Linked DNA regions of Macaca fascicularis. The main gene of each other region encodes a partner of the protein of the gene in region 2 in a complex. Links are inferred from orthologs where the notes say so. Each region holds a gene or a part of one and is shown on either strand. Other genes may lie near its edges.

Evidence for each region.
Region 1: SF3B5 (region 2) and HTATSF1 share a complex: the UniProt entries of both Homo sapiens proteins name them as parts of the 17S U2 SnRNP complex. The link is inferred for Macaca fascicularis from reciprocal best matches to the Homo sapiens genes SF3B5 and HTATSF1.
Region 3: SF3B5 (region 2) and GPKOW share a complex: the UniProt entries of both Homo sapiens proteins name them as parts of the minor spliceosome. The link is inferred for Macaca fascicularis from reciprocal best matches to the Homo sapiens genes SF3B5 and GPKOW.
Region 4: the proteins of SF3B5 (region 2) and DDX42 are in contact, whole or in part, in a cryo-EM structure (PDB 7EVN), measured with the Homo sapiens proteins. The link is inferred for Macaca fascicularis from reciprocal best matches to the Homo sapiens genes SF3B5 and DDX42. Residues at the interface, in NP_112577.1 of Homo sapiens: Arg4, Tyr5, Thr6, Ser9, Gln10, His13, Leu14; in NP_031398.2 of Homo sapiens: Asp156, Ala159, Tyr160, Phe161, Tyr163, Met164, Asn167.
Region 5: SF3B5 (region 2) and DHX16 share a complex: the UniProt entries of both Homo sapiens proteins name them as parts of the minor spliceosome. The link is inferred for Macaca fascicularis from reciprocal best matches to the Homo sapiens genes SF3B5 and DHX16.
Region 6: SF3B5 (region 2) and SF3B2 share a complex: the UniProt entries of both Homo sapiens proteins name them as parts of the SF3B subcomplex of the 17S U2 SnRNP complex. The link is inferred for Macaca fascicularis from reciprocal best matches to the Homo sapiens genes SF3B5 and SF3B2.
Region 7: SF3B5 (region 2) and SNRNP40 share a complex: the UniProt entries of both Homo sapiens proteins name them as parts of the minor spliceosome. The link is inferred for Macaca fascicularis from reciprocal best matches to the Homo sapiens genes SF3B5 and SNRNP40.

The regions. Positions count from the first base shown.
Region 1 is NC_088395.1:142,629,579-142,633,864, reverse strand, and holds the start of HTATSF1 (17S U2 SnRNP complex component HTATSF1), read right to left. Parts: upstream 2,801-4,286; 5' UTR 2,598-2,800; intron 2,414-2,597; 5' UTR 2,353-2,413; coding exon 2,167-2,352; intron 441-2,166; coding exon 260-440; intron 1-259. UniProt on the Homo sapiens protein: Component of the 17S U2 SnRNP complex of the spliceosome, a large ribonucleoprotein complex that removes introns from transcribed pre-mRNAs.
Region 2 is NC_088378.1:48,298,912-48,301,503, forward strand, and holds SF3B5 (splicing factor 3B subunit 5), read right to left. Parts: upstream 1,187-2,592; 5' UTR 1,111-1,186; coding exon 850-1,110; 3' UTR 501-849; downstream 1-500. UniProt on the Homo sapiens protein: Component of the 17S U2 SnRNP complex of the spliceosome, a large ribonucleoprotein complex that removes introns from transcribed pre-mRNAs.
Region 3 is NC_088395.1:49,285,877-49,290,069, forward strand, and holds the start of GPKOW (G-patch domain and KOW motifs-containing protein), read right to left. Parts: upstream 2,801-4,193; 5' UTR 2,780-2,800; coding exon 2,604-2,779; intron 1,839-2,603; coding exon 1,684-1,838; intron 1,585-1,683; coding exon 1,460-1,584; intron 1-1,459. UniProt on the Homo sapiens protein: RNA-binding protein involved in pre-mRNA splicing. As a component of the minor spliceosome, involved in the splicing of U12-type introns in pre-mRNAs.
Region 4 is NC_088390.1:70,316,136-70,319,635, forward strand, and holds part of DDX42 (ATP-dependent RNA helicase DDX42), read left to right. Parts: intron 1-640; coding exon 641-688; intron 689-1,200; coding exon 1,201-1,298; intron 1,299-2,061; coding exon 2,062-2,338; intron 2,339-3,500. UniProt on the Homo sapiens protein: ATP-dependent RNA helicase that binds to partially double-stranded RNAs (dsRNAs) in order to unwind RNA secondary structures. Unwinding is promoted in the presence of single-strand binding proteins.
Region 5 is NC_088378.1:141,982,364-141,986,623, reverse strand, and holds the start of DHX16 (pre-mRNA-splicing factor ATP-dependent RNA helicase DHX16), read right to left. Parts: upstream 2,801-4,260; 5' UTR 2,633-2,800; coding exon 2,426-2,632; intron 2,307-2,425; exon of another isoform or gene 2,251-2,306; intron 1,016-2,250; coding exon 768-1,015; intron 685-767; coding exon 522-684; intron 186-521; coding exon 129-185; intron 1-128. UniProt on the Homo sapiens protein: Required for pre-mRNA splicing as a component of the spliceosome. Contributes to pre-mRNA splicing after spliceosome formation and prior to the first transesterification reaction.
Region 6 is NC_088388.1:8,324,392-8,327,891, reverse strand, and holds part of SF3B2 (splicing factor 3B subunit 2), read left to right. Parts: intron 1-2,691; coding exon 2,692-2,791; intron 2,792-2,897; coding exon 2,898-3,083; intron 3,084-3,421; coding exon 3,422-3,493; 3' UTR 3,494-3,500. UniProt on the Homo sapiens protein: Component of the 17S U2 SnRNP complex of the spliceosome, a large ribonucleoprotein complex that removes introns from transcribed pre-mRNAs.
Region 7 is NC_088375.1:203,742,177-203,745,676, reverse strand, and holds part of SNRNP40 (U5 small nuclear ribonucleoprotein 40 kDa protein), read right to left. Parts: intron 1,807-3,500; coding exon 1,724-1,806; intron 479-1,723; coding exon 417-478; intron 1-416. UniProt on the Homo sapiens protein: Required for pre-mRNA splicing as component of the activated spliceosome. Component of the U5 small nuclear ribonucleoprotein (snRNP) complex and the U4/U6-U5 tri-snRNP complex, building blocks of the spliceosome.

The DNA.
Region 1 (4,286 bases), on a different chromosome or scaffold from region 2:
AAGACCAAGATAAACTAACTCAAATCACTACCCAGCTTTCAAAGGATTTAAATCTTTTGACAAATAATTAGTTTTAGAGCCCTATCTGGGAAAAATGATGGCCAGTTTATCTTGATTCTTTATAACTCTGACACCACCTTTAAGAAAAAACTCACCTTATTCCTTCAAAGCTATTATAATTCTCGGAAAAGCAACTGTACATATGCACACCCATATTTTTAATTTTTACACTTAAAATTTGTAAGCCAGAACCACTTACCTGACTCAGCCTTTCTTTTTTCTCCCTTCTTTCTGGGATCAGTGGGTTCTGAGGCTTTTTCTTGTGGAGGTTCCTCTGCAGTTCTAGCATGGACATCTTCAACATTTGCGGTAGAACTAGATGCGCCATCATTAGAGAAGCCATAATTGGCCTGATATGTAGCAATGAAATCTTCAGTGATCTAAACAAGCAATTCAGCAGACCCAGACAGAGAAATTCAAAATTATTTCCACCCATAAGAAGTTTAAATTGTTTTTACAGCATGGTTACACAACTTAAAACAGAAGTGTTTCTGTGGATAATAGTTGTAGTTATTAGAGTATAAATGCAATAGTCATCTTATATAGAAAATTGTGCATGCGGTGATAAAAAATAAGACACGAGTACTTAGACGATCAATGCAAATGTCTGAGATATGATTTAAAGCATTTTAAGTGATGCTGGCACCTTTTCTAGTTGTTTCATTTATAAATTACTACCTCTCTACAGTCTACTTAACTAAGGCTACAAATACATACAACAAAGGAAGTACCAGATAATAAAACAATAAAAACCAACAGTCAATGAATAATCTAACCACAGAATCCACTTTTCTCTTACTGTACACATGCACAAATATACGTGTACAATAAGTACTTAAATATCTGTATGCAGAGAGCACGTAGAACAGAACTCTGACTTGGTATATAAAGAATGGAGTTAACAACTGTAAAACTAAATGCTCATTTTAACTTTATCACAAATTAAGACGTTATCTTTTAGTAACAGAACAAATTAAAGACAAATCCAACTCATATCTATCTTCCTCCCCTTTGGGGGAAAAGCGTTATTGCAAAACTAAAGAAATATAGTTATACCATCATACCAATCAACATTAGGCACGCATGGAATGGGGAAAATGTAAAACCCAAAGTTTGAAGAGGTATGGGCTTCAATAACATAAAAAGATAAAGTCACACATTAATCCATTATCACACCTTTGTTAAAAGTATTCAGAATGCTGAAGAAACCAAATCTGCACTCAAAACTAGTACTACCAATACAGAAGTGAAATCGTAAATTTTAACAATCTGGAGGCATTGGAATATGTATACAAATACAGAATGGGAAAGAAAAGTTGCAAAAGAATTTTTAAAACAGCCGTCCAGTCGCGCAATGGAGACAGGTTTTGTATTATTGGCTTGCAAGTCAATTTGCGTGCTACTAGTGTGCCCTTTCCTGCTCATGAGAGCCAGATTAAAAGGGCACTTTTACCACAAAGTTTACAGAACCAAGTTTAACATTACTTATTTTACTTCGAAGCTGAAATAAAAATACTTAGCAATTTCCAAGTACTCCAAACAAATATACACAGATATTTTCCATCTGTATTCTGTGCGTCTCCAGTCTTATTCCTGTGGTTATATGGTTCAAACATATATGCTTAGGGACAAAATTTGCTAGGAAAGTAAAGCAAGGTGCAAAGAAAGTTCAATTAGTAAAGATATGTAAACAGCTACTTTAAAAAAATCAAGAAACTGCATTTTGCACATAGTACATAAGCTAAACATCTGAGTTCCTAGGACAAGTGGGGTCGGCTACCAGAAATGGACAGCTACTAAATTTGCTCTTGGTGTTTTTCCTCTTCGCAATAAAAAGCAGTCATCAATGTAATTACCAACTGTGACCTTCACAGACAAGATTAATAAAGCATAGAAAAAACTTAAAAATTACATTTAAGACACCACCCTAAAGATTTACGTTCCTTCACACATCGGTGCCCCGACAAACACAACAAAAAGAAGCGCCGCTATCCAAGGGGGCTAGGACCAAGGACCAAGGATCTCAGCAAAGCAAACGTAAGAGGAGTGCTCCGCGAGGCTGGCCAGGCGACCCGCTCTGCAGTGGCGCCCGTGGCACTCTCCTACCTTGGGGAACCAAGCCTTCTTGTCCAGGTCCCACTCGTAGGGGGTGTCCGTCGGCTGCTGCCCGAGAGAATCGGTTTCTCCGCCGGCATCGGTCTGGGTGTCACCATCCTTGCCGTCTCCGTACAATTCTTGCATTCGCAACTGCTCATCAAACTCATCGTTCCCATCCAAGTTGCTGCCGCTCATGTTTCCTACTCAGCTCAGGAGAAGGGTTCAGAAGAACTAAGAGGCCGAAATGACGCTGGAGCTGAGCAGAAAAAGGGAGGTCAATCGCGCTCTGCTCGCGCCCCGCCGCCCCCCGGCCCGCCTCCCCGCGGCGCCCCAGCAGTCCCCGGGAAATCGGGGCCGCTCGGCTGCCGCACCGCCCCCTGCTCTGCCCGCCCACCGCGCGCGCGCGCTGATGCTGGGAGCTCGGCCGCGCCGCCGCCCACCTGGCTTGCTCCGCTGGGCCTCGGCACCGCCGCTAGGTCCAGGGCGCTGCGGGAGCGCGCAGGCGCGCCGCCGCCGCCGCCGCCGCCGCCGCCGACCGGGTCTAAGGCGACTGCGGCTCCCTCGGCAACGTCAGGATATTACTTGTAAACTAAGCCCTGCTCAGGCCAACGCAGCCGCCATTGTCGGCGCGTCGCGACGTCGCGGGTCGCGCCGACACGCCCACTGTGGCGTCAAAAGGCGCCGACGCCGGCACGCGGCGCGAGACCCGGGGAGGCGGGGCGCCGGAGAGGGGGGAGCGCTACTGCCGGGCGTCGACGCCCACCGGGTTCGGCCTTGGGGCGGGGCGAGGGCCACTGGGATCCCCTGACGCCTCAAGGGCCTTGAGGTCCGCGGGGTTCCCGGCGAATCGGCCGGCCCGGGAGGGAGACGGAAGGAAGGCGTGGGAATATTCCCTCGCGGAGGTGGCCGGGCGGGTGTCGCGAGGACGCCATCTTGGGGGAGTGGGTGGGGCGGGCAGGACAAATATCTCTGGCTTCGAGAAAACGACGCGCCTCCTTCGCCCAAAGGCCCCTCCCCCGCGCAGGAACCGTGTCTTTTACTTGTTTCTTTCCGACTCCCTGGGATGGACACCGGATATTGTTCTTCTTGGTGACCTAAGCTCCTGGCACCGGCTCTGGTGTCTAATGCGGAATGAGCGAATGAATGAACGAATGAGGGGTAAAAGGGCCAACTTTTTTTTTTCTGGTGTCAGCCTTCTCCTTTATCGGTCTCATACCTTCCTCTGGCTGGAGTTTGACTCCATGGGAAGGATGGGAGGGGCTGCAGTTGCCTGCCTCTTGTACTGCAGGATTCAGTGGCGCTCGAGCTGCGAACTTGAAACTTAGACATAAATGTAAACATCCCAGTGTAAACACCAGCTTTACTGGCCGGCAAACTCCGCTTCTTTGTCATTGTTTTAGAAAGACACAGCATACTTTTGTTCTAAACAGAACTTTGTTTTCAGGAATTACACTCATTGCTGAAAATGAAAAGGTCCATATTTTTAAGTTGGGCAGGTATTTATCCAGCCCCTACTAAGTGCAGGGTTCTGCACGAGGCTCTGGCGACCCAGGAGTCGACAAGACAGGCACAGCTCAGGGGAGACAGAATTAGGATGGTTGGCAAATGACAGATATGAGATGCTGGAGGACAGCAGTTCTCAAACTTTTTGGTCCCAGGTCCTCTTTACACGAAAACATTGAAGACCCCAAAAAACGTTTGTGGATTATACTTACCAATATTTCTGCACAAAAATTAAAGCGGCCGTTAAAAAATATTAATTCATTTAAAATAATAAGGAACTCATTAGTGTAACCATAAATATCACAACCCAGGCTTGAGGGTGGGGAAAACCTTCCCAGAAGAAATTATTTCACTATTCCAGTGACCTTCACTTCTAAACATAGCAGTTGAGTACTACTTCTAGAAAATCCTGGCTCCCCACGTACCAGCTGTGTGAATCTATGGTTTCAACGATAACAATAGTTTTTAATAGTTTGGGTTAGTTTTTCTAAATTATATTTCTTTTTCATGAAGTTCGCATCCTGGTAGGAACTCGGAGAACTGAATTTGTGTGCATTTTTATGATACAGGTAATGTGAGTTTTATTAGACTTAAACTTTGCTAAATATTTTTTCCTGGATCCAAAA
Region 2 (2,592 bases):
GCATCTTCTAACATTTACTTATTACGTCTACAGTGTTTGACCTCCTTTCTCCACCACCAGCATAATGTAAGCCTCAAGACCATGGGAAAATGCCTGTCACATAGAGCTCAACAAATATTTGTTGAATATAGAAAGGATGAACTCACTTGCCAGCTTGTCATTTCTGGAGACATGGCCACAAATTCCCAAGAAAAAGAAAGGATGCATTTTAAAGAGGCTAAGGAGGACAATGACAGCAAAGACTGCAAAGACTTTTAAAACGGGAGAAAAAGAAAATGGGATACAATAACCACAAACTTCAATACTGAAGGCATTGTGGGCCTGAAAATAACGCTCTTGGGAGAAGTGGCAGTCGGGGAATTAATTATAATGGTAGACAGGGTGGATTTAAGTACCTGATCATGGACACTGGCATGCACTCCCTCCCCCGACCCATTTCCCGCTCGGGTCTTTCAGGAGCCCTCCACCCTAACACAGGAAGTTCACACCAAGAGAGTGAATGATTTCTAAACTTTATGGAAAAAGCCAATGACAATCAATTAGCCAAAAATGAGACGCCAAATCCCATCTCATTCCAGCGCCACGCCCTCTTCTCAAACGCTTGCCGGCTCTAGGCCCTCTTCACCAACACAGTTCTCAGGGGTTCTGCTGGTCTCCCAGTGCTATTCCAAAGGGTTCACATGAAGGCAGGTCAGGCGGGATTCCCCGGGCAAGCACTTCTGTACGCGGAAGTACCAGACGCAGGAGCCATGGAGAGCCGGTCCTTTGGAGGCAGAAATAGTCGAAGGGATTGGCCAACCTGAGGAACACTGGGAGAGGTGCCCCGCACAGTGGTGGTAAGGCAGAGTCTCAGTTCTCCTCGGGCTTGTCGGCTGGCGGTCCACAAGGCTGAAGCATCTTCTCCATCAAATTGAAGCGGACTCGCGCTTTGCTCTCATTCTCTGCAATGGCGAAGTAGTTGAGAAGGTCGAAGTGGCCCATGTAGGAGCAGTACGAGTCGCGGTGTTGGTTCACCAGCCACTCCCACTTGGTGGTGTCGGCGTGGCCCGTGCCGATGTACTTGGACTGCAGGTGCTCCAGCTGGCTGTGGATGGTGTAGCGGTCCGTCATCTCGCCGCTTTCCCCTTAGTTCCCAGGACAGAGGACGCAGACAACAAATCGCCGCTCTGGCGTTTCACGCGGGAGTGAGGCCACCGTGCGGAAGCTCCCGGCCCGCGCCGTCGCAGAAGAATGGCGTCACGACGACTAAGTAGCGTAAGTCTCGCTCATAGGGCTCAAAGGCGGAAGCGGAAGCACATTCTGTCACGGAATTGGAGTTGCCGAGGCGACGCCACAAGTGTGTCGCCCCTGTAGAGAGCCCCGCCCCGTCAGAGAGCTTTGCATGATGGTCCACTTGGTGGCTATGGGAAGCCCTTTTCCAACAGGGAGCCTTGCATGCTGGGACTTGTGGTCTTGGGAGTTCGTGCTCGTAGGCTTCTGGAACTCCTGGTCTCGTTTTGTTGTTTGAGACAGAGTCTCGCACTGTTACCGGGACTGCAGTGTAATGGCGCGATCTCGATTCACTGCAACTTAACGCCTCCTGGGTTCACGCGATTCTCCTGCCTCAGCCTCTCCAGTAGCTGGGATTACAGGCGCACACCACCACGCCAGGCCAATTTTTTTTTTTTTTTTTTTTTTTTTTTTTTTGTATTTTTAGTAGAGATGGGGTTTCACTGTCTTTGCCTGGCTGATCTCGAACTCCTGATTTCGTGATCCTCCCTCCTCGGACTTCCAAAATGCTGGGATTACAGGCGTGAGCCACTGCGCCAGGCCCCTGGTCGCGTTTTAAAAGTGATCTGGGGACCTAGTGGAGGGTGATGTCTGGGAGGTGGGGAGCATCCGTGGGTGGCTTGGGGCTGATGGGAAATGGGAAACCCAAGTAGGACTGGACTACAAGCAGCCCCGAAAATAAACTCTCCCTGTTTTCCAAAGCTATCATGGTAGCACAGCCATCCCTTCACAACCAGGGATGGATTTCCCAGAAGTCGGCAGGCACAAGTTCTGGTCCCAGCTATGTCTCTTAGGAGTCTGTGGCATAAAAGAGTTATTTCAGCTCTAACCAGGGTGCTTGGTGAGCAAGTACAGCACCAATTCCCACACATTCCGGCTTCCACCTCAAGCTCCTCCTTCCTCTCTAGCCACTTATTTTGATATCCTTCCTCCAAGGCCTCACTGCACCCTACTTGGCCCTTCCATTCAGTGGGTTTTGTGGATTCAACCGACCCGATTGAAAATATTTGGGGAAAAAGTCAGTCTGTACTGAAGTGTAGACTTTTTAAGGTTATTATTCCCTAAACAATACAGTATAACAACTATTTACATAGCATTTACATTGTATTAGGTATTGTTAAATAATCTGGAGACAAACTATACAGGAGAATGTGCATATGTGCAAATACAAGCCATTTTATATCAGGGACTTGAGCATCCTCTAGTTTTGGTATCCATGGGAGTCATGGAACAAATCACTCACGGATACTGAGGGACAACTGTACTTCTCCGTGTTACCTGTTGTGCCCATACCCATTTTCTTGTACAAGCTGTTCCCTCTAC
Region 3 (4,193 bases), on a different chromosome or scaffold from region 2:
CCTCCCAAAGTGTTGGGATTACAGGCTCGGCCGACTCCAAGGTTTTTATGCTGAGTGAGAGGAAGGATGGATGGAATTTTTGGTCACCTGATATGTATAAAGCTGCAGGAGGAGGTTTATAGAGGGAAAAATTAGAGGAATGAGGTTAAAGCTGGAACAGGATGAAAGGATGAAGAGGGAAGTGAGGATCTTTTTTTTCTTTAAAGATGAAGGAGCTGGGCACAGTGGATCATGCCTGTAATCCCAGCACTCTGGGAGGCCAAGGTGGGTAGATCACCTGAAGTCAGGAGTTCAAGACCAGCCTGACCAACGTGGCGAAACCTCGTTTCTACTAAAAATACAAAAACTAGCCAGGCGGTAGTGACACGTGTCTGTAATCCCAGCTACTTGGGAGGCTAAGGCAGGAGAATCGCTTGATCCCGGGAGCGGGAGGTTGCAGTGAGCCGAGATCGTACCACTTCACTCTAGCCTGGGCCACAGGGCAAGACTCTGTCTCAAAAAACAAAAAACAAACAAACAAAAAAAAGTTGAAGGAAATCAGAGCACATCTGAAGGCTGAAGAGAACAGTTCAGTTGAAAGAGAGTGTTCTGGGGCTGTAGGAGAACTAGACTCCAAAGAAGCAATGCAAGAAATTTATGAAAGAAGAGGTGAAAAGTCAGGTCTGTGGGTATGAAAGACAGACTTGGTTACTCCTGTAGACACGCCTCTCACATCTCCTCGTCACCTTCCATCATCACTCCTTCCCATTCACTCCAGACACACCACATGTTGCCTCACTGATGGACACACACCACATCGATTTTCTGCCACTATGCCATTGCTTGGGCTGTTACTACCAACAGGAACACTCACTCTGTTCTTCCCTCTCACTAAACCCTACTTATCCTTCCAGACCACTCTGGTCTAAGTCCCCAGCATCTCTAGCCTGGACTACTCATCCCCTTGCTTCCACCTTCACTAATGAGTCTGTTCACAGCAGCCAGAGGGATGCTGTCAAATCATAAATCATATTTCATCTATGCTCAGGGCTTGCCTAGGCTCTCATCCCACTCAGAGTAAAAGCCAAAGTCCTCACAATGGCCTACAAGGCCCTGCCTTGTCTAGCACCCCCATCTCCTTTCTGACTTCGTCTACTATCCCTTCCCCTCACTCATTCCACTTCAGTCACACTAGTCTCTTTGGTGTTCCGCAAACACTCTAGGCAGTGTCTACCTTCAGGGCCTTTACATTTCCTGTTCCCTTTGCTGCACACCTCATTCAGATAATCCTAGGATTCAAGTACGTTTTTAGCATCCAGATATCCAGATTCATTTGGTAATGCTTCCAAAAAGGATGACAGGAGAAAGGACAGGTGGCGGGCCTCTAGCACACAGACTTTCCCTGCTATGTGCAGGGACAAAGCCTAGCAGACAGGGCAAAGAAAGGCTGGGGCAGGAGGGGGACAAGGGGCCAGCTCACTGTCTCTGCCCGGGGTTCGCTGTCTGCCCCTTCCCCGCTGGGGGTGCATCCTTTCTGGATCATGGGGATAGCGAGCGTGGGGTCGACACCCGCATTCTCTCTCTCTTCCAGAGACTTCTTGGATTCTAAGGGAAGAATAGGAGGGAGCAATGAAGTCCCACTCTATCCTTCCACCTTCTTCATCTTCTTCCTTCACTGGGGAAGGGTAAAGGGGCATCACTCACCCTCAATGAGCTCCTTCACAGCCTGGGACAGCACCCCATCTGCCAAGGCCTCAGTATCTGTGGATGGCCCAGGGGGCCGGGCTGGTGACTGCCTGCGATGGCCATTCTGGATCAAAGGGATGACGAGTTCCTTGGGGGCTTCCTGGGGCTTCACACTGATGTGGACACAGAGGGGTGGGGTTGGGAGAATGGCAGTGTCAGTGGGTCACACTCCTTTATTCAGAGAAAACACGAGAGCCAAACTCACCCCAGCCCCACAGACCATGCCTTCTCTACTCCATGTCTGGATCTCCTGTACCTCTCTGATCGTGCATTCTTTGGATTATCCCCCCCAGTGCCCCCAACTCGTAAATGTCAGTGCCTTCGAGAAATAAGTCCTGGACTCTCTGTTTAACTCAAGACCGGCTTCCACAATGGCCCACAAATCACTATCTTCAGCCTAGACCCTCCCTAGCTCCAGGTTCCCAAACAGCTTCCCAGATGCCTGATTCTCTTCTGGAAATCCCTCCCTCAGACTCTCCTCTCCTCATTAAGCTGATGGTGGCCTCCATCAACCTGAATCTGCCGCTCCATCCCGTTCCCCATATCAGAGAAGCCCCACCACTTCAGCTGAGACACTAGCAGGTCCTGTCATTTTCTCATTCTTTCCTTCTCCCAAAACGCACACACCTCAGTGTCCTCAAGTCCTAAAGACACTTCTTCTCAGTGATACATCCTCTCTTCGCAATTCCCACGGCTATCAGGCCCAATTTCCCCACCCCTCTTATAAACTCCAGCCTTCTGGCCTCCACGAATTTACTCAGGCTGTGCTTCAGGCTTAACAGGTCACTGTCACCAAGACAAACGACTGAGTGAGATTCCTCCCTCCCGCTTACGCCCACCGCAGCGATTTCCAAGGTGTGAAAGACCCGGCGCGTCACCTCTGCAGCTCCCTCCCTTCCACGGTTTTCAAGAAATCCTTCTCCTCCGGAGATGGCCTCGCGCCGTCTCCCGAGTCGGCCAGCCGCCTCCGTGCGGACGTGCGAGTGAAGCCGAATGAAATTGGGGCAGTGGAAGCAGCCGTCAGCGGCAAAACACCCTCTTCGGAGTCAGCCATCTTGCCCCTTTTCCCAGGCCTGCGCGCTGCTTGCTGGGAAATTTAGTTTGGGTTCAGATGGCTAGGGGCCGGCCAAAGTGCGTAAAAACTACCTTCCCATCAACCACTGTGGCACCGGCGGGAGGGGGCGGTAAGGGGCCGTGGGAAGTAATTGTCGCTCTTTCAAACGTCGTGGGAGTGCGTCGCGCCAAGTGCACAGGGAAATGTAGTTTTTTTTGTTTTGTTTTGTTTTTGTTTCTTTTTTTTTTTTAAAGATGGAGTCTTGCTCTGTTGCCCAGGCTGGAGTGCAGTGGTGTGATCTCGGCTCACTGCAACCTCTGCCTCCCGGGTTCAAGCGCTTCTCCTGCTGCAGCCTCCCGAGTAGCTGAGGCTACAGGCATGCGCCACCACGCCCGGCTAATTTTTGTATTTTTAGTAGAGACGGGTTTCACCGTGTTAGCCAGGATAGTCTCCATCTCCTGACCTCGTGATCCGCCTGCCTCGGCCTCCCACAGTGCTGGGACTACAGGCGTAAGCCACCACGCCCGGCCGGAAATGTAGTTTTTAGCGAGGTAGGCATGGTGGAAGGTGGATTCATTCTTGCCAGGCATTGATTCCTTCGTGTAGGCGTTTGACAAGTATTTATGGAGCGCCTACTGTGTGCCCTACTCATGTGGGAAGTGTTGATGAAGTAAATCATTTAGAAATAATCAGCCAGGTGTGGTGGCGTGCACCTGTAGTTTCATTTAGCCCACAGGCTGAGGCAGGAGGATGGCCTGAGGCCCAGGAGTTCGAGGATGCACTTAGCTCTTATTGCGCCACTGCATTCCAGCATGGGTGACAGAGCGATACCCCGTCTCTAAAAAAGAAAAAGTCAGGGTCGGGGGCGGGGGAAGGAGTGTCAGTTGTCTACAATAGTAAATAATAGACATAAAGTGCCTACTGGCCAGGCGTGGTAGCTCATGCCTGTAATCCTAGCATTTTGGGAGGCCTAGGCTGGTGGATCACCTGAGGTCAGGACTTTGAGACCAGCCTGACTCATATGGTGAAACCCTGTCTCTACTAAAAATACAAAAATTAGCCGGGCTGGTGGTGGCACCTGTAGTCCCAGCTACTCAGGAGGCTGAGACAGGAGGATTGCTTGAACCCGGGAGGCAGAGTTTGCAGTAAGCCGAGATCCCGCCACTGCACTCCAACCTGGGCGACAGAGCGAGACTCTGTCTTAAAAAAGAAAAAGAAAGAAAGAAAGAAAGAAAGAAAGAAAGAAGAAAGAAGGAAGGAAGGAAGGAAGGAAGGAAGGAAGGAAGGAAGGAAGGAAGGAAGGAAGGAAGGAAGGAAGGAAGGAAGGAAGGAAGGAAGGAAGGAAGGAAGGAAGGAAGGAAGGAAGGAAGGAAGGAAGGAAGGAAGGAAGGAAGGAAGGAAGGAAGGAAGGAAG
Region 4 (3,500 bases), on a different chromosome or scaffold from region 2:
TCTCTGTCTTTATTTTTATTCATATGCCTTTGATCATAGAGGTTAAGGTCTGTGTACTTGGGTAGGTGAATGTCAGATGATTCGAGGCCCTTTGCTTTCCTATCCTCATAGCTGTCTTTACTGATTGGAACACTGCTAGACCTAGCCCAGTTGGATGGAGGGAAAATTTTTCACTTTTATACTGAACGATATGTCTAGGAGCTTCGTTTTTTTTTGAGACAGAGTTTCACTCTTGTTGCCCAGGCTGGAGTGCAGTGGTGCGATCTCACTACAACCTCCTCCTTCCAGTTTCAAGCGATTCTCCTGCCTCAGCCTCCTGAGTAGCTGGGATTATAGGCACCTACTCCACACCTGGCTAGTTTGTTTTTTTGTTTTTGTTTTTTTTTTTCGGTATTTTTAGTAGAGAGAGCTGCGTTGACCAGGTTGCAAACTCCTGACCTTAAGTGATCCGGTGATCCACCTGCTTCGGCCTCCCAGAGTGCTAGGATTACAGGCATGAGCCACTGCGCCCGGCCTGGGGTTTCTAATTTTCTTAATTCTTACAACTTCTTGTGAATACTTTTACTACAATGGCTTTTTCCAGGCTTCCCAAACTGTATTTCAGGTTATAATATTAATTTTATTGTTCTGCTTCTTCCAGAGTACCAAGTTCGATCCATAGCAAGTCATGTTCGTCCTGACAGACAGAGTATGTATGAAGCACCTTCGTTAAACCAAATTTGTACTAAAAAGGACACTTATTTATTTTATAAGCACTCAGAGTTATGGAAGTAAAAATGATCATGTGTGTATTGGTGAGAACCGTAACGAGGGAGGTAATGAGTTTATCTGAGCTGGACAGGATCTTAGCACTAGATATAACTTGTTCCTTTTTATAGATGATAAAAGCAAGCCTCAGAAATTAAATAAGCTGCCCAAAATTATACAGTTTTATCAGCGGGTAGAAGCAATGATCAGTACAGATCTGCTGATTTGAAATCAAGAGTCTTTTTCTGAACCATGCTGACAACTTGTCTTAACTAAAAATGTAATAAAAATAGAATAAGAGCAAATCTTTCTCTAGTGAATCAATTTTTAAACTAAATTTAAAGCTCAGGTGAGCTTATGTAAAAAAACTGAATAATCTTGAATGCCAAAGAAGCTTAATGGATATTCATAAAGATATACTGTTTCTCTAACAGAATTTATCTTATCTTGTAGCTCTCTTATTTAGTGCAACTTTTCGGAAAAAGATTGAAAAGTTGGCCAGAGACATCCTGATCGACCCTATTCGAGTGGTGCAGGGAGATATTGGAGAGGTAACCCTAAACAGGGCTGGATGGGACCTTAATGTGTTTATTTCTCATATTATGGAACACAGAATTAATTTCTCACTATTGAGATAAAAAAAGATGTTATGTTTATAGATGCAACATGCTTGAGATTTGGTATTTTGCAAGTTGTGGGGATACATGAAAGAGGACTGGCAAAATATTGGGAATCATAGAAGCTAGATGATGGGTACGAGTTGATTTTGTTCATTTTGCTTTTCTGTTTGTTTTACTGAATGTCTCAAAACTTTATAATTGTTTTAAAAAGGCTTCAAAGAGACAAAAAGATCTGCCTGGAAGCATACTACAGTGTGTTAGGTTGGAACTGACGTTTTAATTATTGTGGGAGGGGCCTACACAGGAGGGAAAGGGTGACCTGAAAGGCCTGGCAAAAATCAGGTTTCATTTCTTACCTGTACATATGCGCTATATGGAAAATTTCTCTGAATTGGGACTTGGAATTCAGTTATGGCTGCTTAAGAATCCTTCAGTTGCTTGCCATGGTTATTGTTAAGGAAAGCTCTAGAAAGTAGTGGGGCATACAAATTAGGTATATACACCAGGCGGAGAGCAAGGTGATTGAAAAGGAGAGGTGAGTTTTGAGCTGCACTTGACTTGCTGAAGGAAGGCCCAAGGAGAACTGGATTGTTGAAGGTCTTCTCGATGCAGGTAGAAAATACAATGCTAGTCCTTGTTTAGGTGGCCTGTGACTCCAATGTCACAATCATCTGTTTCATTTCTTCCTTCTCAGGCAAATGAAGATGTGACACAGATTGTGGAGATTCTCCATTCTGGACCTAGTAAATGGAACTGGCTTACCCGGCGTCTGGTAGAGTTTACCTCTTCAGGGAGTGTCCTCCTCTTTGTTACTAAAAAAGCCAATGCTGAAGAGCTAGCGAATAACCTTAAACAGGAGGGTCATAATCTTGGGCTGCTCCATGGGGATATGGATCAGAGTGAGAGAAACAAGGTCATTTCAGACTTTAAGAAAAAGGACATCCCAGTCCTGGTGGCCACAGATGTTGCAGGTAGAGTATGAATTTTTCAACAACATTAAGTTCCTAGGCTATAAGGGTACTCTGTCTTACTGTATAAGACGTGTAATATCTGAGCAGGCTGATGGAAAGACTATTGGCCTGACTGGCCATCCCCTCCCAAACCCCCAAGGAAGCAGCAGTTCAGCACAGGGATCACAGTCTGGAGCTCTAGACACCACTTTTCTTTTTTTTTTTTTTTTTTTTTTTTTTTTTTTTTTTTTTGAGACGGAGTCTCGCTCTGTCGCCCAGGCTGGAGTGCAGTGGCCTGATCTCAGCTCACTGCAAGCTCCGCCTCCCGGGTTCACGCCATTCTCCTGCCTCAGCCTCCCGAGTAGCTGGGACTACAGGCGCCCGCCACCTCGCCCGGCTAGTTTTTTGTAGTTTTAGTAGAGACGGGGTTTCACTGTGTTCACCAGGATGGTCTCGATCTCCTGACCTCGTGATCCACCCGTCTCGGCCTCCCAAAGTGCTGGGATTACAGGCTTGAGCCACCGCGCCCGGCCGACACCACTTTTCACTTAGTGTCTCTCTCTGATCAAAGAATCCCTGCAGCGGCTGGGCGCAGTGGCTCAAGCCTGTAATGCCAGCATTTTGGGAGGCCGAGACGGGCGGATCACGAGGTCAGGAGATCGAGACCATCCTGGCTAACACGGTGAAACCTCGTCTCTACTAAAAAATAGAAAAAAGTAGCCAGGTGAGGTGACAGGTGCCTGTAGTCCCAGCTACTCAGGAGGCTGAGGCAGGAGAATGGCCTAAACCCGGGAGGTGGAGCTTGCAGTGAGCTGAGATCCGGCCACTATACTCCAGCCTGAGCGACAGAGCAAGAATCTGTCTCAAGAAAAAAAAAAAAAAAAAGAATCCCTGCAGCTAGAAGTCACTGGGGGAAAAAAGGCAATGAATGCCCTTATTGTATGTCTGAATATAGTAGATATCTTACATTGATCTACTATACACAGCTTAGTTGGGCAACTTCACTCAGGATGAGAACAGTTTTTGGAATATTATTTCTGCTTTGTTCTGTCAAGTTTTAATAACTACCCTTAAACACTGATATTCCCAGAAAGGAGAGAACTTCTCAGCTTCATGACACATTTTAAAAATATATTCCCAGTGCAAGAGAAGAGGGCATGGCAGATTCTTGATGCAAAAGATA
Region 5 (4,260 bases), about 94 Mb from region 2:
AGACCTGACCACTCCATCAGCATCCACACCGTGCTTCCTCTGTATTCTCTCTCCCTATACGTAACCACTCTATCAGACGGTCTTCCCTTTTGTCTTCTGATCTTGGGTCCCTGGGCCCTGGGACTCACCATGGCCTTCCGGTCTTCCTCGGCCATCTTGAGGCGCTTCTGAGCTTCTTCATAAGCCTAGAAAAAAAAAAAACAAGAATAGAGGGGTGTGAGGCCAAAGAGCCCCCACACTGACAGCTGCTCCTCTTTAGAATCACAAGGATCATTCAGATGTACCCTAACACAAAAAATGTCCCCTCTCAGTGAGGGATCTGTATGATTGCAGGTACAGTAGAGTTGCCTTAGCCACAGGATGCACAGGGCTTCTCTCACCTCATCTCTCCCCACAGAGGGGAACATCTCACTAGAGAAAGCCCCTTGTCTTCCCAGAGATCACCATCTCTGCAATCACAGCCAACCTCACATTTCACCCTGGGATCTTGGGGATTTACAGAACGTGCTGCTCCTGTTCACCTTCTTGTCTGACCGCTCCAGGACATTTCGAGTCCGATCCTTGTCCCGCTGTCGAACCCTCTCAGCAAAGGCATCACGCTCCTCCAGGTCCTGAAGGCGCTCACGCTCTGTCCGTTCCCACTCATCTTCTGACTCTGGCTTCTCTGTCTGCTGTTTACTCCCCCTGCAGCCCATCCAGGGGATTAAATAAGGGCATTGAGCACACTTCAGCCTGCCCCATCCTCCCTCGCCCTGCTTCTGACTTACCCTGTTTTCTTCTTCCCTTTCTCAGAAGCCTCTTCCTCCTCTTCTTCCTCCTCTTCCTCACGCTTCTTCCTGAGGTGTTTCCGCTTTTTACGTTTCTTCTGGAGGCTGCTTCCAGCCCTACTCACAGTCTCCTCACTGCTCTCTTCACTGTCTTCCAACAACCTATAAGATCGGTTCTTCTCCAGCAGGGCTCGGGCCTCTCGCTCTGCTGCCCGCGCTGGCTTTTCTACCACTGCCTTTCGTGGTACCTGTCAGTAGAGGGGAAGATAAGGAGGTCTGAGCAACTCCTGATCTCTGCCCTCCCACTTAGCTCTAGCTCTGTTCCTAATTTAAGCAATTACTTAGTCTCCCCCCGCCCGCCGAGATGGAGTCTTGGTCTGTCACCCGGAGCTGGAGTGCAATGGTGTGATCTCGGCTCACTTCAACCTCCACCTCCTAGGTTCAAGCAATTCTCCTGCCTCAGCCTCCCAAGTAGCTGGGATTACAGGCGCCTGCCACCACACCTGACTAATTTCTGTATTTTTAGTAGAGATGAGGTTTCACCATGTTGGCCAGGTTGGTCTCAAACTCCTGACCTCATGATCCAGTTGCCTGGGCCTCCCAAAGTGCTGGGATTACAGGCGTGAGCCACCGCACCCGGGCACAATTACTTAGTTTTAAACCAGCTAACCAGCCTTCATTCTGTCTTCCTCATGGCTTCACCCCATGTTTATCATCCTGAATGGGGCCCACAGCTTTTTGGCTTTTTTTACAGACAGGGTTTCACTCTGTCCCTCTTGGGCTCAAGTGATCCTCCCACCTCAGGCTCCTAAGTAGCTGGAAACACAGGTGCACACTACAACGCCCAATTAATTTTTAAATTTTTTGTAGGGAGGTTTCACTATGTTGCCCAGGCTGGTCTCGAACTCCTGGGCTCAAATGATCCTCCTGCCTCAGCCTTCTGGGGTGCTGGGATTACAGGTGTGAGCCACTGCACCGGGCCTCCTCTGTTAATTAAACGGCTGAAAGGAAGTTCAGAAGCTGAGGGGGGACGGGCAAGGTGGCTCACGCCTGTAATCCCAGCACTTTGCGGGGCTGAGAGAGGAGGACTGCTTGAGCTGAGGAGTTAGAGACCAGCCTGCGCAACACACCAAGGCCTCGTCTCTAAAAATAAAAATAAAAATAAAAGATATTAGCCGGGGGTGGTGGCGCATGCCCATAGTCCCAGCTACTGGGGAAGATGAGATGGGAGGGTCGCTTCAGCCAGGGAGATCGACGCTGTAGTGAGCCGTGATCTTATGACCGCACTCCAGCCTGGGCGACAGGGCGAGCGAGGCTGTGTCTCTCAAAAAAAAAAAAAAAAAAAAAAGGAAAGAAAGAAAGAAAAAGAAAGAAATGCAGAAACTAAGATCCCTACTGAATCGCAATCTGCATTTTAACAAGGGCCCTGGATGCATGTTAAGAGTTCGAAAAACACCGTTCTATTGCGTTTAACCCGACACACCTAAGCCCTCCTCAATCTTCTCCACTGAGCTGGGCGTCCAGCAGCTAGCACAGTACCTAGGCGACAACGGACAAAGAATAAGTGCTTGTGAACTGAGCTTTCTTAACTCCTCGATGGACCGTTAGGCCAGCCTCATCGGGACAAATCACAGGACCCCTCCCCACCCTGCCGACACCTTGTTCCAGAGTCTCAGGGCGAAGTCCCGGGCCGGTCCACTGAGATCCAAAGTATCAGTGTCTCGTAGGCGCTGCACGAACTCCTCGGCCGACGTGCAGCGCTGTGCAGTACCGATCAGGAACTGGGCGACGTGCCGCTCGCTCAGCCCCAACACCGAGTGCAGCTCGTCCTGAACCCAGCGCTCCAGCCCCGCCGGCGTCGCCATGGCGACCCACGCTCCCTGCTCCCAGCCCTGAAGCGTCGGGCAGCCCCGTTCACTGCTGGGCCGGTCGGAGGCCTGGAGCCCTCGGCTGGAGCCTCAGCTTCGCAAGGCGGCTACCTTGGGACCTCTAGGATCAATTTCCGACATCCCAAAGCCGTCGTCCGGTACCGCAAAGCCCGGAAGGGGCTGCACTTTTTCCGGCCTCTAAGCACTACGGTGGCCGAGCGAGTTCAAACCTCGCGGAACCATGCCTGAAAGTTCGGAGTAATTCTTTTTTCTTCATTTCCGCCTCTATCCAGTTTCTCTGACGCCCCCTGATGGTCAGTTCGTGAGTGCTTCCCTAACGCATTCATTCAACAAGTGAAATCAATTTAATGGAGGCCTAATGTGTGCTCATTGCTTTCCGTCGCTGGGATCTAGCAGAGGACAAATCAAAAGTTCCTTACCAAATTTACATTTTGCGGTGGGGGAGGGACAGGATACATAATAAATAAAGTATGGAAGTTTTATAGAGCCAAAAACTCTACAAAGTAAGGGACAACCGAAATTCTATTTCAGATTGGAAGATGGGGTCCATGCTCATGAAGCATATTAGCCGTGTTGGCCGGGCGCGGTGGCTCACGCCTGTAATCCCAGCACTTTGGGAAGCCAAGACGGGCAGATCACTTGAGGTCAGGAGTTCGAGGCCAGCCTGGCCAAGATGGCTAAACCCTGTCTCTACTAAAAATATAAAAATTAGCCGGGTGTGGTGGCGTGCGCCTGCAGCCCCAGGTACTCGGGAGGCTGAGGCAGGAGAATCGTTTGTACCTGCGAAGCGGAGCTTGCAGTGAACCGAGATCCCACCACTGCACTCCAGCCTGAGCGACAGAGGAAGACTCTGTCTCAAACAAACAAAAAAGTGACCTTTGCTAGGATTGGTTTGCCTGCAGCAGGAGTGAAGACAGGTCAGGCATAAGGGAAGACCTCTAGGCAGGAAGAAACTGGGGAACTGGGGAAAATTGTTAAAGACAAAATCTCCAAACTAAGGAACAGGCAAACTGTTTTCTGCATTTTTGCTAACATCTTGAGAAAATCACTGGTGGCTGCTTATTTAAAAGTAAGCAAGGCCAGGTGCAGTGGCTCTTCCTATAATCCCAGCACTTTGGGAGGCTGAGGCAGGAGGATCTCTTGAGAACAGGGGTTTGAGACCAGCCTGGGCAACATGGTGAGACCCTGCCATCTCTACAAAAAATTAGCCAGGTGTGGAGGTGTGCATCTGTAGTCCCAGCTACTCTGGAGGCTGAGACAAGAGAATCTTTTATTTTTTATTTTTATTTTTTTGGAGACGGAGTCTTGCTCTGTTGCCCAGACTGGAGTGCAGAGGCACGATCTTGGCTCACTGCAACCTCCGCCTCCCAGGTTCAAGTGATTCTCCTGCCTCAGCCTCTGGAGTAGCTGGGATTACAGGCGCAATAGGCACGTGCCATCACGCCCTGCTTACTTTTGTATTTTTAGTAGAGACGGGATTTTACCATGTTGGTCAGGCTGGTCCCGAACTCCTGACCTCATGATCTGCCTGCCTCAGCCTCCCAAAGTGCTGGGATTACAGGTGTGAGCCACCGCGCCGGGCCTGAGACAGGAGAATCTCTTCA
Region 6 (3,500 bases), on a different chromosome or scaffold from region 2:
TTCTCTGTTCCCTTCTCTTTCCTCTCACCTTATTCCTCTGTTAAGTTGTCCCACTGCTCACTGATGCTTTTCATTTTTCTTTTTTTTTTTTTTTTGAGACGGAGTCTTGCTCTGTTGCCCAGGCTGGAGTGCAGTGGCCGGATCTCGGCTCACTGCAAGCTCTGCCTCCCGGGTTCACGCCATTCTCCTGCCTCAGCCTCCCGAGTAGCTGGGACTACAGGCACCCGCCACCTCGCCCAGCTATTTTTTTGTAATTTTTAGTAGAGACGGGGTTTCACCGTGTTAGCCAGGATGGTCTCTATCTCCTGACCTCGTGATCCGCCCGTCTCGGCCTCCCAAAGTGCTGGGATTACAGGCTTGAGCCACTGCGCCCGGCCGATGCTTTTCATTTTTAAAGAAATTCTTCTCTCTTTGTATTTCACTTTAGAAAATTTCTATTGCTATGTGTTCAAGTTTACTATTATTTTCTTCTGTAATTTCTGGTCTAACAGTAATCCCATACAATATAATTCTCCTTTCTAGAAGTTTGATTTCAGGTCTTTTAAATCTATTCTTTCTCTCTTAACTTTTTGAACATGTGGAATGCAGTTATAACAATATTTTATTTTTATTTTATCTTATTTTATTTTATGATGGAGTCTTACCCTGTTGCCTAGCCTGGAGTGCAGTGGCATAATCTCGGCTTATGGCAACCTCTGCTGCCCAGGTTCAAGCGATTCTTGTGCCGCAGCCTCCCAAGTAGCTGGGACTACAGGTGTGTGCCACCACACCCAGCTACTTTTTTTGTATTTTTAGTAGAGACAGGGTTTCACCATGTTGACCGAGCTGTTCTTGAACTCCTCAGGTGATCCGCCTGTCTCAGCCTCCCAAAGTGCTGGGATTATAGGCATGAGCCACCACACCTGGCTGTAACAACATTTTAATGTATTGTCTGCTAACTCTAACATCTGTGCCATTTCTGGGTTGATTGCCATTAGTGGATTCATTTTTCTCATATGGATTGTATTTTCCTACTCTTTTGCATGCCTGGTAATTTTTTTTTCTTTTCCTTTTTTCTTTTGAGAGAGGTTCTCACTGTGTTGCCCAGGCTGGTCTTGAACTTCTGAGCTCAAGCAGTCCTCCTGCCTCAGCTTCCCAAAGTGCTGGGATTACAGGTGTGAGCCACCAGACCTGTCCAGTGCCTGGTAATTTTTTACTGAATGCTAGGCTTTGTGAAATTTACCTTGTTGGGTCCATGATATTTTTGTATTCCTGTAGATTTTCTTCAGCTCATTCAGGAATATAGTTATATGGAGCTAGTTTGATCCTTTCAGGTCTTGTTTTTGGGGTTCTTGAGGCAGGACTGAAGCAGTCCTCCCCACTGTGAGGCACAAGTGCCTGTGGACTCTACCCACCGCCCTGTGAATCAGGAGGTTTTTCCGTCTGGCTAGTGGGAGTTGCACTATTCCCAGTTCTGAGTGAGCAGCAGGTGCTGTTACGAATCCTTTCGGGTGCTTCTTTCCCTGTCCTTGGTAGGCATGTGCTGCTTAGTACTCCCCTGCATACTTGAGGACCTTCTCTAGGTCTCTTGAGTTCTCTCTCAGCTCTTTTCTTCAGTACTCTATCCTGTGAACTCTAGCTGCCTTGATCTCCCTGGACTTTCAGCTTCATCCTCCCAACTCATGGAGTCCTCAGGGCTCTCCATGCGTCTTCCCTCTGTTCTGTGGCCTGCAAACTCTTGGTGCAGTATGCTGGGGCAGTTGAAGGGCTCATTGCATTTGTTTCCTATCTTGCAGGAATCACTGTGCTTTGTTGCCCCATGTCTAGTGTCTTGAAAACCACTGTTTCATATATTTTGCCCATTTTTTGGTTGTTTCAGGCAGGAGGGTGTATCTGGTTCCTGTTGCTCCTTGTCAGGAAGCAGAAGTCTCAAGCTTTGCATATTCAAGGAAGAAAAATAAAGAAGGGTACTGTGGACAGAGTATAGTGAGGAGGGCTTGGGTAAGGGATCAGGCTATGAACCCTTTAGGTCATGGTAAGGAGTTTAGATTTTATTCAGATAATGATCAGAAGCCTCAGAGGGTTTTGAGCAAAGGTCTGACAGGACCTGCAATCCATTTTAAGCCATTTTCTCTGGCTCTTGTGTGGAGAATAGATTGTCACCTCTTCCAGTGGGAGAGGTGGAGATGATGGACACAGTCTGGGGTAATAGTGGTAGAGGTGCTCTTATTCCTAGTGTAATCCTTGAAATTAGTGGTGAAACTGGCTGTGGATGGCTCTTGCGTCGGAAGGCCTGAAGTGTGAATTACGTACATGAGAACTCAAGGCATGACATTCTTCGGGTGGGAACTGTTGTCACCTGCTCTCTCTTGCTAGCTTCTCTGTACCAAAGTTCTCTTGGAAACTTTGAGCCTCTCTGACCTTTTGACCCTTCTGTACATGTGGGAGTCCTGGTCTGTGATCCCCTAACTTGGTTTAGGGGGCCCCTTAGCTCCATCTGTGTTCCCTGGAGTCAGCACTGTGCCACCCTCCCCTTCCCCCTGCCCAATTATTTTCTGTCATGGGCTTCCATGAACTGCAGAGGCTGCATCCTTGGGGAGCTCAGAAGCTCTCCAAGGCGCTGAGTGGAGGTGCCACCTGTATCTTTTGTTTCTGCTTCTGGAGACCCTTTTGTCCCTTCCTTTTTGGGCCTGATCCCATTGTCCTTCACAGAAGTGAGACACCTCAGCTCTTCACCGTGTTGCCAGAGAAGAGAACAGCCACTGTTGGGGGAGCCATGATGGGATCAACCCACATTTATGATATGTCCACGGTGAGTACTTGGAGGACATACTGCTTTTGGAGGCTGAGAAGGGCGGCAGAAGCTAGGGCTTCTCTGACTCTCTTTGGAGGTGACAAGGCCCTGATCTCCTTTCCAGGTTATGAGCCGGAAGGGCCCAGCTCCTGAACTGCAAGGTGTGGAAGTGGCGCTGGCGCCTGAGGAGTTGGAGCTTGATCCTATGGCCATGACCCAGAAGTATGAGGAGCATGTGCGGGAGCAGCAGGCTCAAGTAGAGAAGGAGGACTTCAGCGACATGGTGGCTGAGCATGCTGCCAAACAGAAGGTAGGCGCTTCCAGGGGCGCTGGGCTGGGTGAGAGCCAGGGACCCTGGCCTGCCGTTTTCAGTGGTGTGGTGCCCTCTAGTGGTGAGAGTGAGGGTGGCCTCTGCTTGCTGCCCTGTGCGCTTAGATTTGGAAGTCTTAGAAATCCTCCAGTGGGCTGCCCTCTTTAAGGACGATGAGGGGGAGGAACTCAGCCAAGTCTGAGAGGGAGCTCGAAGAGAATCCAGATTCAGCACCTTTCCCACAGACTTCTATGTCTATGTCAGGCTGCCCACCCTTGTTTTGGGGGTCTGGGGGTGGTTCAACCTGTTATAACCTGTGTCTCTTTCTCCCTATGCAGCAAAAGAAACGGAAAGCTCAGCCCCAGGACAGCCGTGGGGGCAGCAAGAAATACAAAGAGTTCAAGTTTTAGGTCCCCT
Region 7 (3,500 bases), on a different chromosome or scaffold from region 2:
ATAACTCTATGTCTGCTCTAGCTCCATATCCACGCTTTATGTATCAAACACAAGAAGACATCCTGCATAGCTACATCATTCTTTTTTTTTTGGAGATGGAGTCTCGCTCTTGCTGCCCGGGCTGGAGTAGTGCAATGGTGCGATCTCGGCTCACCACAACCTCTGCCTCCCGGGTTCAAGTGATTCTCCTGCCTGAGCCTCCCAAGTAGCTGGGATTACAGGCATGTGCCACCACGCCCAGGTAATTTTGTATTTTTAGTAGAGATGGGGTTTCTCCATGTTAGTCAGGCTGGTCTCGAACTCCTAACCTCAGGAGATCCGCCCGCCTCGGCCTCCCAAAGTGCTGGAATTGCAGGCGCGAGCCACCACATCTGGCCAGCTACATCATTCTTTACTTTGCACCCAGTAATCCTTACCTGTCGGCTGAGCCAGCTGCTATTTTGCTTCCATCAGGTGACCAAGAACATCTCAGAAGGTTCTATAATAAATAAGAATCCACTGAATAGTAATATACCAAACTCCTCTTTGCAAGGCTGCAGAATCACTGAGAGGCTTTACATTTCCTAAGTAGAGTTTTAATTATTCTTCTCAGGAAGATGGTCAGTAATTATCTTATATTCTATGCTCAAAATAGCATACTTTGTTATTTTACACCATATAAAAACTGTAGAAAATGCTTAACTTACAGTTAATTAGATTGAACCTGACAACAAAATTTTGTTCTACTTATAAATGGAGGTTCCCTTTGCTCCATTTATCTTGATACTCATTATTCTTTTTTTTTTCCCTAACTATCTTTAAGAAAAATACACACAAACCCAACAAATAATAAATTTTGGGGTTTTTTTGTTTTTTTTTTTTTGAGATAGGGTCTTGCTCTGTTGTCCAAGCTGGAGTACAGTGGCACAATCATAGCTCACTGTAGTTTTGACCTCCTGGGCCCAAGTGATCCTCCCATTTCAGCCTCCCAAGCAGCTGAGACTGCAGGCACATGCCACCACAACCAGATTTTTTATATTTTGTAGAGACAGGGTCTCACTATGTCGCCCTGACTGGTCTCTAGCTCCTGACCTCCCACCTTGACTTCACAAAGTGCTGGGATTACAGCTGTGAGCCACTGTGCCAGGTCCAAAAAATAAAATTTGATTTATACAGTGAAACTGAATCTCAATGAGCTCTTAAAAAAAAAAAATTAATCTCTATTAACAAATTCTCTCAGGGGAAAAGCTTCTTTCAATAGAGCTGACCTTGAAATTTGAGGGTTTGAAAAAAATTTTCTCTCTCAGAACTTGGGCCGTGGTAGTTACTGAGGGGAGAGATGTATTCTTAGGATTCTAAAACACGTGGTCACAGGATGGGGAGGCAGGTAGGGAGACCATCCGGGTAACAGCTATGGGAGCTTGGGTTCCATATGGAAAACTGATTTAGGAGGGTAAAATTTACAAGTAATTAAAAGGCCAGGAGTGTCCTGTTGAGGGTGGTGTCAAGTCAGATGCCCTCAGTTTGAGGGCTGGCTCCATTCCTTTTGGGCTATGTGACTGGCTTCTCCCCAGTCACTATTATTTCTATTAGCTTTATTTTTGGCAACAAGTTTTGATTAAGAGCAGTGTTACAGGAATGAAGTCCATTCTTAGCAGAGCTACTGCTCTCTATCCTTAGTACCACCTTAAATGTTTCTCTGAAGTAAATGAACAGTAAAACTCCTCTGCCAAGCAGAACTCACCTTTTCAAAGTTGTGCACATTTCCTTGAAATATCTTTACACACCTCTCTTTGGGGGCAAATGGCCGGACATCCCAGACACGAACTGCAAAACAAATCCAAATAAACAAACCAACCAAAACAACTATCGGTCAGAGGCCTCGTGGGCACCCAGCTGAAATTAGTATCACGTCAATCAATGACAGATGCTGTTTCCTGGATAGGCGAAGTCCAACACGACACACTGCTACCTGTTAAGGCTCTTCTCTTTTTCAAGCAGGAAAATACATCTAAATCCCAATAACTGGGGCTAGCTGAGGAGGCAGGAAGGAAAAATGTCACACTCAATGTTGGTAATTTACAACAGAATGCAGCTGGGTGTGATACTAATTTCAAAAAGATACTTTGCAAGATTTCTCTGCCAGCTTAGAGTCACATCCAGCAAAGCTTCAATGTGACAAACTAAATACCATGAACTACTGTGACAATGAACTTATAAAAACCAACCTTACATTGCCCTTTCCTAATTTCCCTCATATAGGCACCTGAGAGTCTAAAACTGAACAAGGTCAGATATATATATAAAATATATAAAAGGTTAAATAAATCAAGAGCACTGTACCATACCAAAAATCAGAAAAAGTAAACATTGATTCTAATTCTAGCTCTGTTGCATATTTGGGTGATGTCAGGTAAACAGTGAGATTGTTTGTGTCTTGGTTTTCCTGTTCCGTAAAATGAAGAGAAAATTATCTGTCTTCTTTTTTAAATAATACTATTGACTGATTGATTGAGATGGAGTTTCGCTCTTCTTGCTCAGCCTGGAGTACAGGGGCACAATCTTGGCTCACTGTAACCTCCGCCTCCTGGATTCAAGTGATTCTCCTGCCTCAGCCTCCCAAGTAGCTGGGATTACAGGCGCCCACCACCACACCTGGCTAATTTTTGTATTTTTAGTAAAGACGGGGTTTCACCACGTTGGCCAGGCTGGTCTCGAACTCCTGACCTCAGGTGATCTCCTCCGCCCAGCCAATAACACTATTTTAAAGAAAATTTGTAGGCAACAAACAAAAATAAAGAATTTATAATTTTATTATGCAGCCATAAGAAATTATTCTATTATTTTTTCCTTATTTTAATATCAATTTAGGAAACCTCATTGTTCCTCATTATAAAGAATGCTAGAATTAGCTAGGCATGGTACTTGGGAGGCTTGCTTGGGCCTAGGAGTTTGAGACCAGCCTGGGCAACACAGCAAGATCCTGTCTTATAAAAAAAATTAAGGGAAAAAAATTTTTTAATGCTAGATTATGTGTGTATAAACATCTATTGTAAGCAGTAGCTATAGCTGTCGTAACTGACGCTATACCTGTAGTGGAATTTCAGTGATGTCATTTTATTTGAGTATGAAAAAAGTATTATCAATCCTTAGAGTCAGGCAGGCATAAAAAGGCAAAGCTATGAATGAACGTTTGCTATTGAGAATACAGTCAAAAGATAAAGATTTCCATTCATTCAACAAATATTTATTAAGTAGCCAACGAATGTCAGGTATTGTTTTTGTTACAAAATATCAGGGAGTACATTTTAGTTCCTGACAAGCCTATAAATTTGTATACCAGGGCCATTTCCAAACTCCCTCAACATTAAGCATATAATCCAGCAAGTCACCTTACTTTTTTTCTATAGTGACCCATCCTCCCACCCTACAACTCAAAAACAAGTAAAGAGAAAAAGCAAGTGTGTGTTTGTGTAAATACAGAATGTTTTAATGAAGACTTCTTCCCACACCAATGCTTT